Arabidopsis thaliana: one gene and its partner. The protein of the gene in region 2 interacts with the protein of the main gene of each other region in a pairwise test. Each region holds a gene or a part of one and is shown on either strand. Other genes may lie near its edges.

What was found.
Region 1: the proteins of IAA30 (region 2) and WRKY17 interact in binary tests that used the Arabidopsis thaliana proteins (3 or more experiments, as listed by UniProt).

Annotation. Positions count from the first base shown.
Region 1 is NC_003071.7:10,436,241-10,442,014, reverse strand, and holds WRKY17 (WRKY DNA-binding protein 17), read left to right. Parts: upstream 1-2,545; 5' UTR 2,546-2,792; coding exon 2,793-3,451; intron 3,452-3,942; coding exon 3,943-4,071; intron 4,072-4,161; coding exon 4,162-4,339; 3' UTR 4,340-4,662; downstream 4,663-5,774.
Region 2 is NC_003074.8:22,993,416-22,998,048, forward strand, and holds IAA30 (indole-3-acetic acid inducible 30), read left to right. Parts: upstream 1-2,270; 5' UTR 2,271-2,419; coding exon 2,420-2,786; intron 2,787-2,916; coding exon 2,917-3,013; coding exon of another isoform or gene 3,014-3,017; exon of another isoform or gene 3,018-3,123; coding exon 3,124-3,178; 3' UTR 3,179-3,394; downstream 3,395-4,633. Other genes in the region: AT3G62110 (Pectin lyase-like superfamily protein), read right to left, coding at 3,898-4,610. UniProt on the Arabidopsis thaliana protein: Aux/IAA proteins are short-lived transcriptional factors that function as repressors of early auxin response genes at low auxin concentrations.

The DNA.
Region 1 (5,774 bases), on a different chromosome or scaffold from region 2:
ATTGTATTTTTCTGATAACAAATGTGCATTATTTCTATCATCCACTAACTAATAATTAAAAATTCAATATTGACCGTACTATTATAAAAAAAAAAAACAATGGTTGGAAGTTTGAAATACGTAAACAACAAAAAAACAAAAAAAAATAAAACTTCGTTCGTTAGTACCGTATGAATTCATAGATACAACATATACAAAATAAGTATTTTACCCAACATGTGTCTTCTTTCACTGGTTTGATCTCATTCGTTTTGCATGGGCTAACAAAACAATTATTTCAAATACGCGAAGATTATTATTTCTATGCGACCATTTTATAGAAAAGATAATTTAGATAAGATATAAAGGAGACATTTTTAGAGGAGATAACATTGAAATATATAGTATAATATATTTTTAGAGATTCATAAATTATAAATTTAGAAAAGGACATTAAAATTTGATATAGAAAAGGAATTTAAAAGTAAGTAAAAGTTTACAAAATCAGAAATGAAAAAATAAAATGCTTTTAAAAAAAATGTAGACGTGCACGACAATCATATATATTAGTCGGTTAGGTCAACGATTCCCATGTCGCTAATTTATAATGCATTCCGTTGACAAATATTTAAAAATGTTTCAATTATACATCTTGAGGTCTGTTTTTGCACACATAACACGTCATATATCATTGACAAAGAAAACACGTCGTAATTTTCTTTTTCTTTTTCTTTCATGTAGTCTTCTTGGCTTAAAAGAATTCAGCTAAGTAAGTATGGTTGATATTTTCTTCTACAAGTGATAAAACTTTGGAATTTTTGAATAAGTATAATTACAAGAAAACACTGCATATAACAACTACAAGAAAACACTGCATATACCAAAATTATCGAAACATGTATATTCCGACAAACTGAAATCACCGGAAAACGGTGGTGTATTGAAACAAAGAGTTGTTTTAACTGAAGTTTGAAAGTAAACAAAAGATTAAAAAGTAATTTATAGTAATGTTAATATTTACTCATGTTTCTGCTTTGGTGATTAGTAATAAATCTTCTAAAATCTATATGCCATTTTATAAATGCGATTAAAAATTTACCAATTAAACCTTATTTAGAAAAATGTAGAGAAAACTTCAAATTATCTCCTCAAGTAGGATTAGATCGAGCTGCAAATTGGCTCTTTTTATTCATTTAATTTCCTCCATTCCTAACTGTATTGGTATTGTTTACTTTATTTCTATAAGCAACAAAAAAAAAAGAATCTTGTGGACAGGTGACAATTTATGAGTCAGCCAGAATTGCCACGTGTCGGAAGATCAGTTGCCGTGGTAAAAGGTGTTTTTTAGATTCTCAAAAAAAAAGTAGTTAAAGAGAATAATATCAAAGAGTCAACTCCACAGTTCACAGATCCACCGTTGGATCTAACTTTTGGATTATCAACGGCCCAGATAATAGTTAACCGGAATCACTCGGTTACCGAGGTAGTCAATAGTTCTGTGTTTTAAAAAGAAATGCGTCCATGTGATCACTTTTATTTTATTTGTAGTCAGCTTTTGTTTTCCTACTTTGTCGTTTTTCTTTATCGCTGTTCTCAACTAAAGACTTGTAGACTATACTAATAAGATATAGTCAACGATTGTCGCTGTTATTATAGCCTTTAATCTCTATTAATGATTGTTAATTGTTCCACAATCTGTGTAGATTAATTAGGTAAAATTAAAAGTCAAGAAAAGATTGTTTTCAATTTACTAGTTTTCCAGTCAAGACGTTTTCTAGAAGGCTATGAGGTAAGAAAAAAAAAATATATATTAGGTGCAAAGTTAATATGGGAGTCAAATATTATTTTCAAATAATTATTATTGTCAATGCACTGCAAAATTAGTAATAATTCTAGAAAGAAATTGAAATAATAAAAATATGCTGCAAACACGAGTTTGGTATGTGTGCACCATATAATATTGACAAGTTGTAGTGTTGGTTGAAGCTAAAAATAACACAAAAACATAAAAAGAACATGAATAACGCCTAAAACTTAACACGAATAAAATAAAAAAACATAAAATATATTATCAAAAGTCAAAATCACAAAAGAAATTAATACCATTTTACAATTAGCTGAAAATTTATTCTATCAAAATCCAGTCCTATTAAAGAAAAATATGTGATTTGAGATGAAATTAATATTACATATTTTGATTTGGTTCAAGAATAAATTATGGATTTTGGTTAAAGACCTTCTAATATTCCAAAGAAACAAAAAAAAATCAGCCCAATTGTTCATACAAATAAAAACAATTCATTACCTTTAATTTTAAATTTATTGACTTGAACTTGAAGACATAAGATACCTAATAAAAGAAAAAATAGATATGAGACTTTAAAAAAGCTTTATGATTTTCTTTAGACACCATCCTTTAATGTTTTTTATTTGACTTTTTGTTTCTTTGAAATTCCTTTACCACCATTTTCCCCAAATTCAAGTTTACGCACAATGATTCCTTTATTTTAAAGACACGATTATAAATTCTTGCTTTGCACAAAAGAAGACCCTACATATCTCACAACTCAAGGAGACCAAACTTTGATTACTTTATTCCATAGAAATCTTCAACTCAATCTCAGCCGTTAGATCTAAAGCACCGATTTGACTAAACTCCATCTTAAACCTACTCAACCGGTCACTCGGTCACACCCATAACCCCATATATCACGCCAACGCCATTCTTTTTTCTTCCAGTTTCGCTCTCTCATTCATCAAAAAAAACTTGCACATCTTCTCAGATCTTCAAGTTTCTCCTCTGGTTTCTCATCATGACCGTTGATATTATGCGTTTACCTAAGATGGAAGATCAAACGGCTATACAAGAAGCTGCATCACAAGGCTTAAAAAGCATGGAACACTTGATTCGTGTCCTCTCTAACCGTCCCGAAGAACGTAACGTTGATTGCTCTGAGATCACTGATTTCACAGTTTCTAAGTTCAAGAAAGTTATCTCTCTTCTTAACCGTTCCGGTCACGCCCGGTTTAGACGTGGTCCGGTTCATTCCCCTCCTTCCTCCTCCGTTCCTCCACCGGTGAAAGTGACAACTCCGGCTCCCACTCAGATCTCTGCTCCAGCACCGGTTAGCTTCGTTCAGGCAAATCAACAAAGCGTGACGTTAGATTTCACTAGACCGAGCGTTTTTGGCGCTAAAACCAAGAGCTCGGAGGTTGTTGAGTTTGCTAAAGAGAGCTTTAGCGTATCTTCTAACTCTTCTTTCATGTCTTCTGCGATCACCGGTGATGGAAGTGTCTCTAAAGGCTCTTCGATCTTTCTTGCTCCGGCTCCAGCGGTGCCAGTGACTTCCTCCGGGAAACCGCCGCTTTCTGGTCTTCCTTACAGGAAGAGATGCTTTGAACATGACCACTCTGAAGGCTTTTCCGGCAAGATCTCTGGCTCCGGCAACGGCAAGTGCCATTGCAAGAAAAGGTATTGTTATTACTCCACAATAAATTAATCATTTGTTTGACTAGCCTAGTAGTAGTTAATTGTTTGGTTCGATACGGTCTAAACCAATCGCTCACGGACTCAGTGAAAATATATCACGAATTCAGATTTCAAAATTCTTTTTTTGCCTCGAATTTGTCAATCATGAACAAGTCTACTAGTTAAATTAACTAGTCTCAGTAAAAAATAAAGAATAAAAATCCGGGTTTAATACTTTGTAGACCGGTTTGGTACTATCTAAACCAATCGGTCAATGTATTTAGTGAAAGTCAACGACAGTAACTTAAACCAAAGTGCACGCCTGACAAGGACAAGTTAGTGGGTGCTGTCGTTTTGTATAGGGAAAGTTTTTACGTTTTAAAAGTCTTTGTCTGCCCGTTGACTTTTGCTAACCTGATGCATGTTCACGTTAGTCGTGTCAGCGCACGTTAAATCATTTCACTAATTACAATGTTTTATTATTTAATTAACAGCCGAAAAAATCGGATGAAGAGAACCGTGAGAGTACCGGCGGTAAGTGCAAAGATCGCCGATATACCACCAGACGAATATTCATGGAGAAAGTATGGACAAAAACCGATCAAAGGCTCACCACATCCACGGTAACTATCGTACACCATCGCTATCCACCGTTGATTTATTTGTGAAACATTGGAGATCTAACGGTTGTGATTTGTTTTTGTTGATTTCAGGGGTTATTACAAGTGTAGTACATTTAGAGGATGTCCAGCGAGGAAACACGTGGAAAGAGCTTTGGATGATTCAACGATGTTGATTGTGACGTACGAAGGAGAGCACCGTCATCACCAGTCCACGATGCAGGAGCATGTAACTCCTAGCGTGAGTGGTTTGGTGTTTGGTTCGGCTTGAAGAATTAATTAGTTTGGTAGTTTTGTAATATTTTGAGAAATAGAGGGGTTGGTTTTGTAATTTTTTTTCTATAACAAAATTAGTTTTAGATTTTTTTTTAGTAGTCTTTTGAATGGATTTTAATCTTACTACCGAGAAAGAAAAAATTCTTACTACATTTTCATAATTTCTTGTTTGATATATTTAGTGGTGTCATGTAAGAAAATGATGTTTAGCAAAGTAATTGGTATATAAATGTGTAGGCATATGTATTTAATGATATGGTTCGTAAAGTTACCATTACTCTGTTTGATCTAGTTATGATTTGTGATGGTTGATTTAGGGGAAAAATGTCATTTAATCCCCCAACTTTCAAAAAATGGCCATTTTATACATCAATTTCATATGTGGCCGTTTAAAACATGAACTAAACGTTGACTAATTTTTAAAACATGATCTTTCGTTGACCAGGCCAAAATAGACATGCCGTTATCAGTCATTAACGGAACTTCTAACGTCCGTTATCATTCGTTAACTTTATTAGTCAAGTTTCAAATTGTGGCCATTTTAAACATCAACTTCTTATGTGGCTATTTAAAACATGAATTAAACGTTGAATACCATTTAAAACATGAAAAATTCGTTGACCAGGCCAAAATAGACATGTCTTTATCAGTAGAACCTAGAAACCCGTTAATGACTGTTAATCTGTCCAAAATAACGTCGTTCAAGAATAATCGAAAGAACATAAAGATTTTTTCCATATGAAATCTCCATATCAAAAAGTTTTAAGCAGAACCCAAGAACATAGTTTGATAAAGAGATAATCGCAGTGCCAGTAATTGGAAGCAAATAAAGGTGTTTTCGTTTATATATTTGTTTTAAATTTTAAAAGGAATCATGGAAGCAAATTGAAGACTCATTATAAGATTGTTCGTCTTGTTTGAGCGGTTGTAAAAATAGATTTGGGGAAGTAGGGTTTCATTTAGAAAACAATCCTGATTTTCTTTTGATTACTCTCAAAACAAAGTCGTTTTAGGGATACTAATAGAGTCGTTAACAAGTGATAATGAATGTTATAAGTTCTTTTAATGAATGATGACAACATGTTTATTTTGGCTTGGTCAACGAATTTCTCATGTTTTAAATGGTAATCAACGCTTAGTTCATGTTTAAAATGGCCACATATAAAGTCGATGTTTAAAATGACCACAATTTATAACTTGACTAATAAAGTTGTTAACGGATGATAACGGACGTTAGAAGTTCCGTTAATGACTGATAATGGCATGTCTTTTTTGGCCTGGTCAACGAATAATCATGTTTTAAAAGTTAGTCAACTTTTAGTTCATGTTTTAAACGGCCGCATACGAAATTGATGTATAAAATGGCCATTTTTTAAAAGTTAGGGGATTAATTGACATTTTTCCCGTTGATTTAATGGAGGGTTAGACTT
Region 2 (4,633 bases):
CGCTTTCCAGAATTTTATACGTTATTCAAAGAAAATACTTGACCAAATACATGTAATAACATATTGGTTATCTAGAAACAAAAGACGAGTACAAGATACAAAAAAAAAAAACAAAGGGGACAAAGAATGGTGTGGAGAAAAAAGTTTGAAGAAGAAAGAAAAAAAAGTGAGGAAATTGTGATGATAATGGTAGGGGTGGTGGGGAACATATCTCTTCTTTATCAGTTTCCCTTTTTTTTTTTCTCTCTCAAAAATCATGTTTGGAGTTTCTTTTGGTTCAAGCTAAATCTTTTTCTCTTCTTCTTTCTAATAGTATCTATTTGTTTCTTCAAACCAAACGATATCTACGCAATACATGTCGGTTATTGTGATAACGACATTGTTTGGATGTTTCGGGTTCAAAAGATTTGTATGAATGTGTATACTATATATGTTTTTGGCTCAATGATAAAGACACTTGATAAGAGATTCAGGATCGTTTCAAATTATTTTAAAAAACTATATATAATATGAAAAACACTTTAATACTTAAGAATACTATTTGTAATCCGTAAAACTTTAAGTTCTAAAACCATTAATTAAAAATAAGAAACAAGTTACGTTGTACATATAAACTAAAAGACGGAATGGAATATGATTTGATTGTAAAAATAACTTTGGACAAAATCTTCCAATTATAAAAGAGAGAACAAAGAGTTCTAATCATATTGATTGGTAGGTCATGAAGAAGCTTAAGGAGTGATTGTAGAAGAGTGGAAGTGGAGGCGACAAAGTGAGGAGACACGTGGAAAAAGGCACGTGACGTGGGGAACGTGAAATGTTGTCGATAGTGTTTACTGTCTCGTGCTTGCAAAACTATATGTATGTTTTGGAGTGTGAGAATTGTGACGTATCCTCAGTCCTTAGTCCATAGGCGAAGCATCTCTCATTAGCTCCTCTCTTTAAGGTTACGCATTCATTACTCATGCTTCCCTTCTCTCATTTTCTTTCTTTTTCTATATTCCCCTCTATTTGTTTCTTCGCTTCTAATTTATTACATGTAACGTACAAAACCAAGAAGCATGCACTTTTTTCTGGTGACCAAAGTTTAATATATCAACCGAATTGACTATACCACATACATGTTTCTATCTAAATCCAATGAATATTACACAAATAGAATCTTGGTGTGCCAACCAAAGAGAAGCATTTATTAAAGTCACTATTTTGAATACTAACGACGGATAAGACTAAGATCACCAATATGATGTGTTTTGGTCTCTGCCATGAAAAGATACAGAAATTCTGATTAAGATTTGTGGGAGATTAGCACCACTTGATTCACTTTGATTGCTACACATAAAAGGTTGGTAAATTGGTTTAGTATTGGAAAAATATAGTAGTGGTTGGACTTGACTATAGATGCTTCATGATAAGATAAATTAAAAGGAACAATCAAATTAGTAGAGGAGTGTAATTACTAACAGCGACGTGGATTAAAATCATGGAAAGCTCAAACTCTTGTCATGCTTAGATACAATGGAGTCCACGTAGACTATTTTCAATATTTTTTGTCATAATTAAAGAACATTATTAGAGAGTTAATGACGTACATGAGACGTGTTTAGCAGTTGATATTCAATTTAAAAAACATTTTGACATACTTTAATGCTAAAACAAAAACATTTTTTTTGCTTAAAGTGTCTCGCGGTTATAAAAAAAACCTTAATTATGGAAGTGTTGTTTGTCGAACCCACGAATGCATCAATGCGCGTCACGATAGTCTCATGCATTGAACTTGATTTTACTAAGACGGATAATGAAGTAAACTATGTATTGTACATTGGTCTACATTTATTTAAGAAAACATGTTCTTATCCGGTTTAGAACTATCTTGTCTACGTTCATATGATTCCTTAAATCTAAGCCTAAACTTTTTAAACTAAATCAGTCACAGTTTCTTATTCATTTATAGTGTTTTAACAAAATAATTCAGTTAATTCTAAAATCCAACCCTAATTATTTTATAAGAAATCAAACAATCTTTTTTCTTTTTTTTTTTGTTAAACGAAAGGTAGTACTAGGAGTCGAGTATATTTACATTGAAACAAACAAAATTTAATTAGAACACACCCAGCAAAAAAATCCGAGCACAAAGTCAAAACCAACACTTTGACCAAGTGTCTGCATGACACGTGTATTTGTCTGCTACATGGACAACATCTTTAACAACACTGTCTCATCATTCCACCATTTTCTTTAATTAAAAAAAAAACATATCAGAAAGACCATTCCAATATTATTACTTCTTCCTTTTAAGCTCTAACAATTAAATAAAAATTTCCATTCTCTATATATAATACACACACGTTCAAATCATTAATCACCTGTTTTAGATAAAATCATAGAGAGAGAGAAATAGTAAAAGAAATAAAAAAAAATGGGAAGAGGGAGAAGCTCATCGTCTTCATCGATAGAGAGCAGCTGCAAAAGCAACCCATTTGGTGTGTCTTCGAGTAATACTCGGAACCTAAGCACGGACCTGAGACTCGGGCTCAGCTTCGGATCATCTTCCGGACAATATTACAACGGTGGAGATAACCATGAATATGATGGAGTCGGTGCGGCAGAGGAAATGATGATCATGGAAGAAGAAGAGCAAAACGAGTGTAATAGTGTCGGAAGCTTCTACGTGAAAGTGAACATGGAAGGAGTTCCTATTGGGAGAAAGATCGATCTTTTATCTCTTAATGGATATCATGATTTGATCACAACTCTCGACTACATGTTCAATGCTTCAATCCTTTGTAAGTATCTACACACACTTAATTACATCTTTGCATGTAGACTTAGTTAATATTTATATTTGTTATACCTCTCTTTGCATGTATATAGTTAAGACCAAAACTAATGGCAATAAAAAAATTGTGAAAATAGGGGCTGAAGAAGAAGATATGTGTAGTGAGAAGAGTCACGTGCTAACGTACGCAGACAAAGAAGGTGACTGGATGATGGTTGGAGATGTTCCTTGGGAGTAAGTTCTTTTTTAATTTTAGTGTATTAAAAATCTCTAGTTAAGTATTTTTTTTGACATAATTATGTAAAAATTCCCTTTAATTAATGGGGACTTAATTGATTATGTAGGATGTTCTTGTCTAGCGTGAGAAGACTAAAGATCTCAAGAGCTTATCACTACTGATTTTCTAAAAGCAAACTTGGAAGAATCTAGGATTGACCAATACAGTCAGTGGTGGTGGGGGAAAAAGTTAGTTTTGTCTGAATGTAAATCACTTGTTCGAGATTTTATTCAAATTTTGTTTCTAGTTTTATTACATTTATAAAAAAATCGGTTGTAACTTGTAATGAAGCTATTTTTTTCAAGAAAAAAAGCTGTAGCTAATGCAGATCCTTTTTGGTTTAGTAGTTATTTTTATGGTTTTAGACATAGATTAGATAATACTAGAAATATGAATTGTTTTGGAACACTGCTGAATTAGGTTCATATTCGTATTCTAGTTTTCACAAAGTTTCAGTTGAGTTACTAGTTTAACCAAATCAAGATCTATTTCATATTTTCATACTATCATTTACTTCTCAATTCAACTATTTTACCGGAATAAACAGTGAAATATAGTTGTTCTAGTTATGGAATCTGAAATTGAAAAATAATTGTCAAAAAATTTCAACAGACTCTGTCGGAGATATTACAATTGTTCCGCTCACCAAAAGCATTAAAGCCCATACAAGGAAAACAAAAACAAAAACTCTTAAGCCACTCTGATTATTTTCCTCACTGCACACAAATTTACACGAAAACAACAAAAGATGAAAGAAAGCATCATTTTTCAAAATCGAAGAGGTTTCTTCAGAATCAAGCAAACTGTGTTTCCCCTTTGATGTTCAAAACTTCACAGTAACTTACCAAGAAAGTAACCATGGTGATCTACTTAAACCACTTGATATCTCCATATTATTTTCCGATAACCCGAAACAATCAGATCCATGTTCCGGGAATATACTCTCTTTCAAAGAATCACAAGTAATTTCCGGCGAAACCCACTGTGAATAACCTCTCACATTCGAGCATTCCCATGGTGATTTCTTCGAATTCTTCTTCACTCTAAGAGTAACATTAAGGAAACATATATTCTTAAACACATCTCCTTCTATACCTTCAAGAAGACCCGCAACACCTATTCCATCGCCATTTACATTCTCAAAGGTGATTTTCTCTATAGCTGGGAGTGCTTTGGGATCGTATTTCTCATCAGGATGTTCACCGTACTTACCGGTGAACCTAATCGCTTTCTTTACATTATCGAGCTTCACGTTCAAGATGTGAACGTTTCTAACATACCCGCCTCTTCCAGCAGAAGTCTTGATTCTGATTCCAGTATTCGAATTGAACAAATGTAAGTCTTTAATGTATATTTCGGATACACCTCCCGACATTTCACTTCCTATTGCTATTCCTGAGCTTGAAGTAGTTTGACCTGTTAACCGATTAATCTTGATCTTGGAGCTCGGTCTTGCGTAGGATATTCCATACTCATCCCATCCGCTTTTTATCGATACCAAATCATCCCCGGTAACTATGTAACAATCCTCTATGCAAACATTAGTTGATGAATCTGCAAACAGAACAATTTCCAAA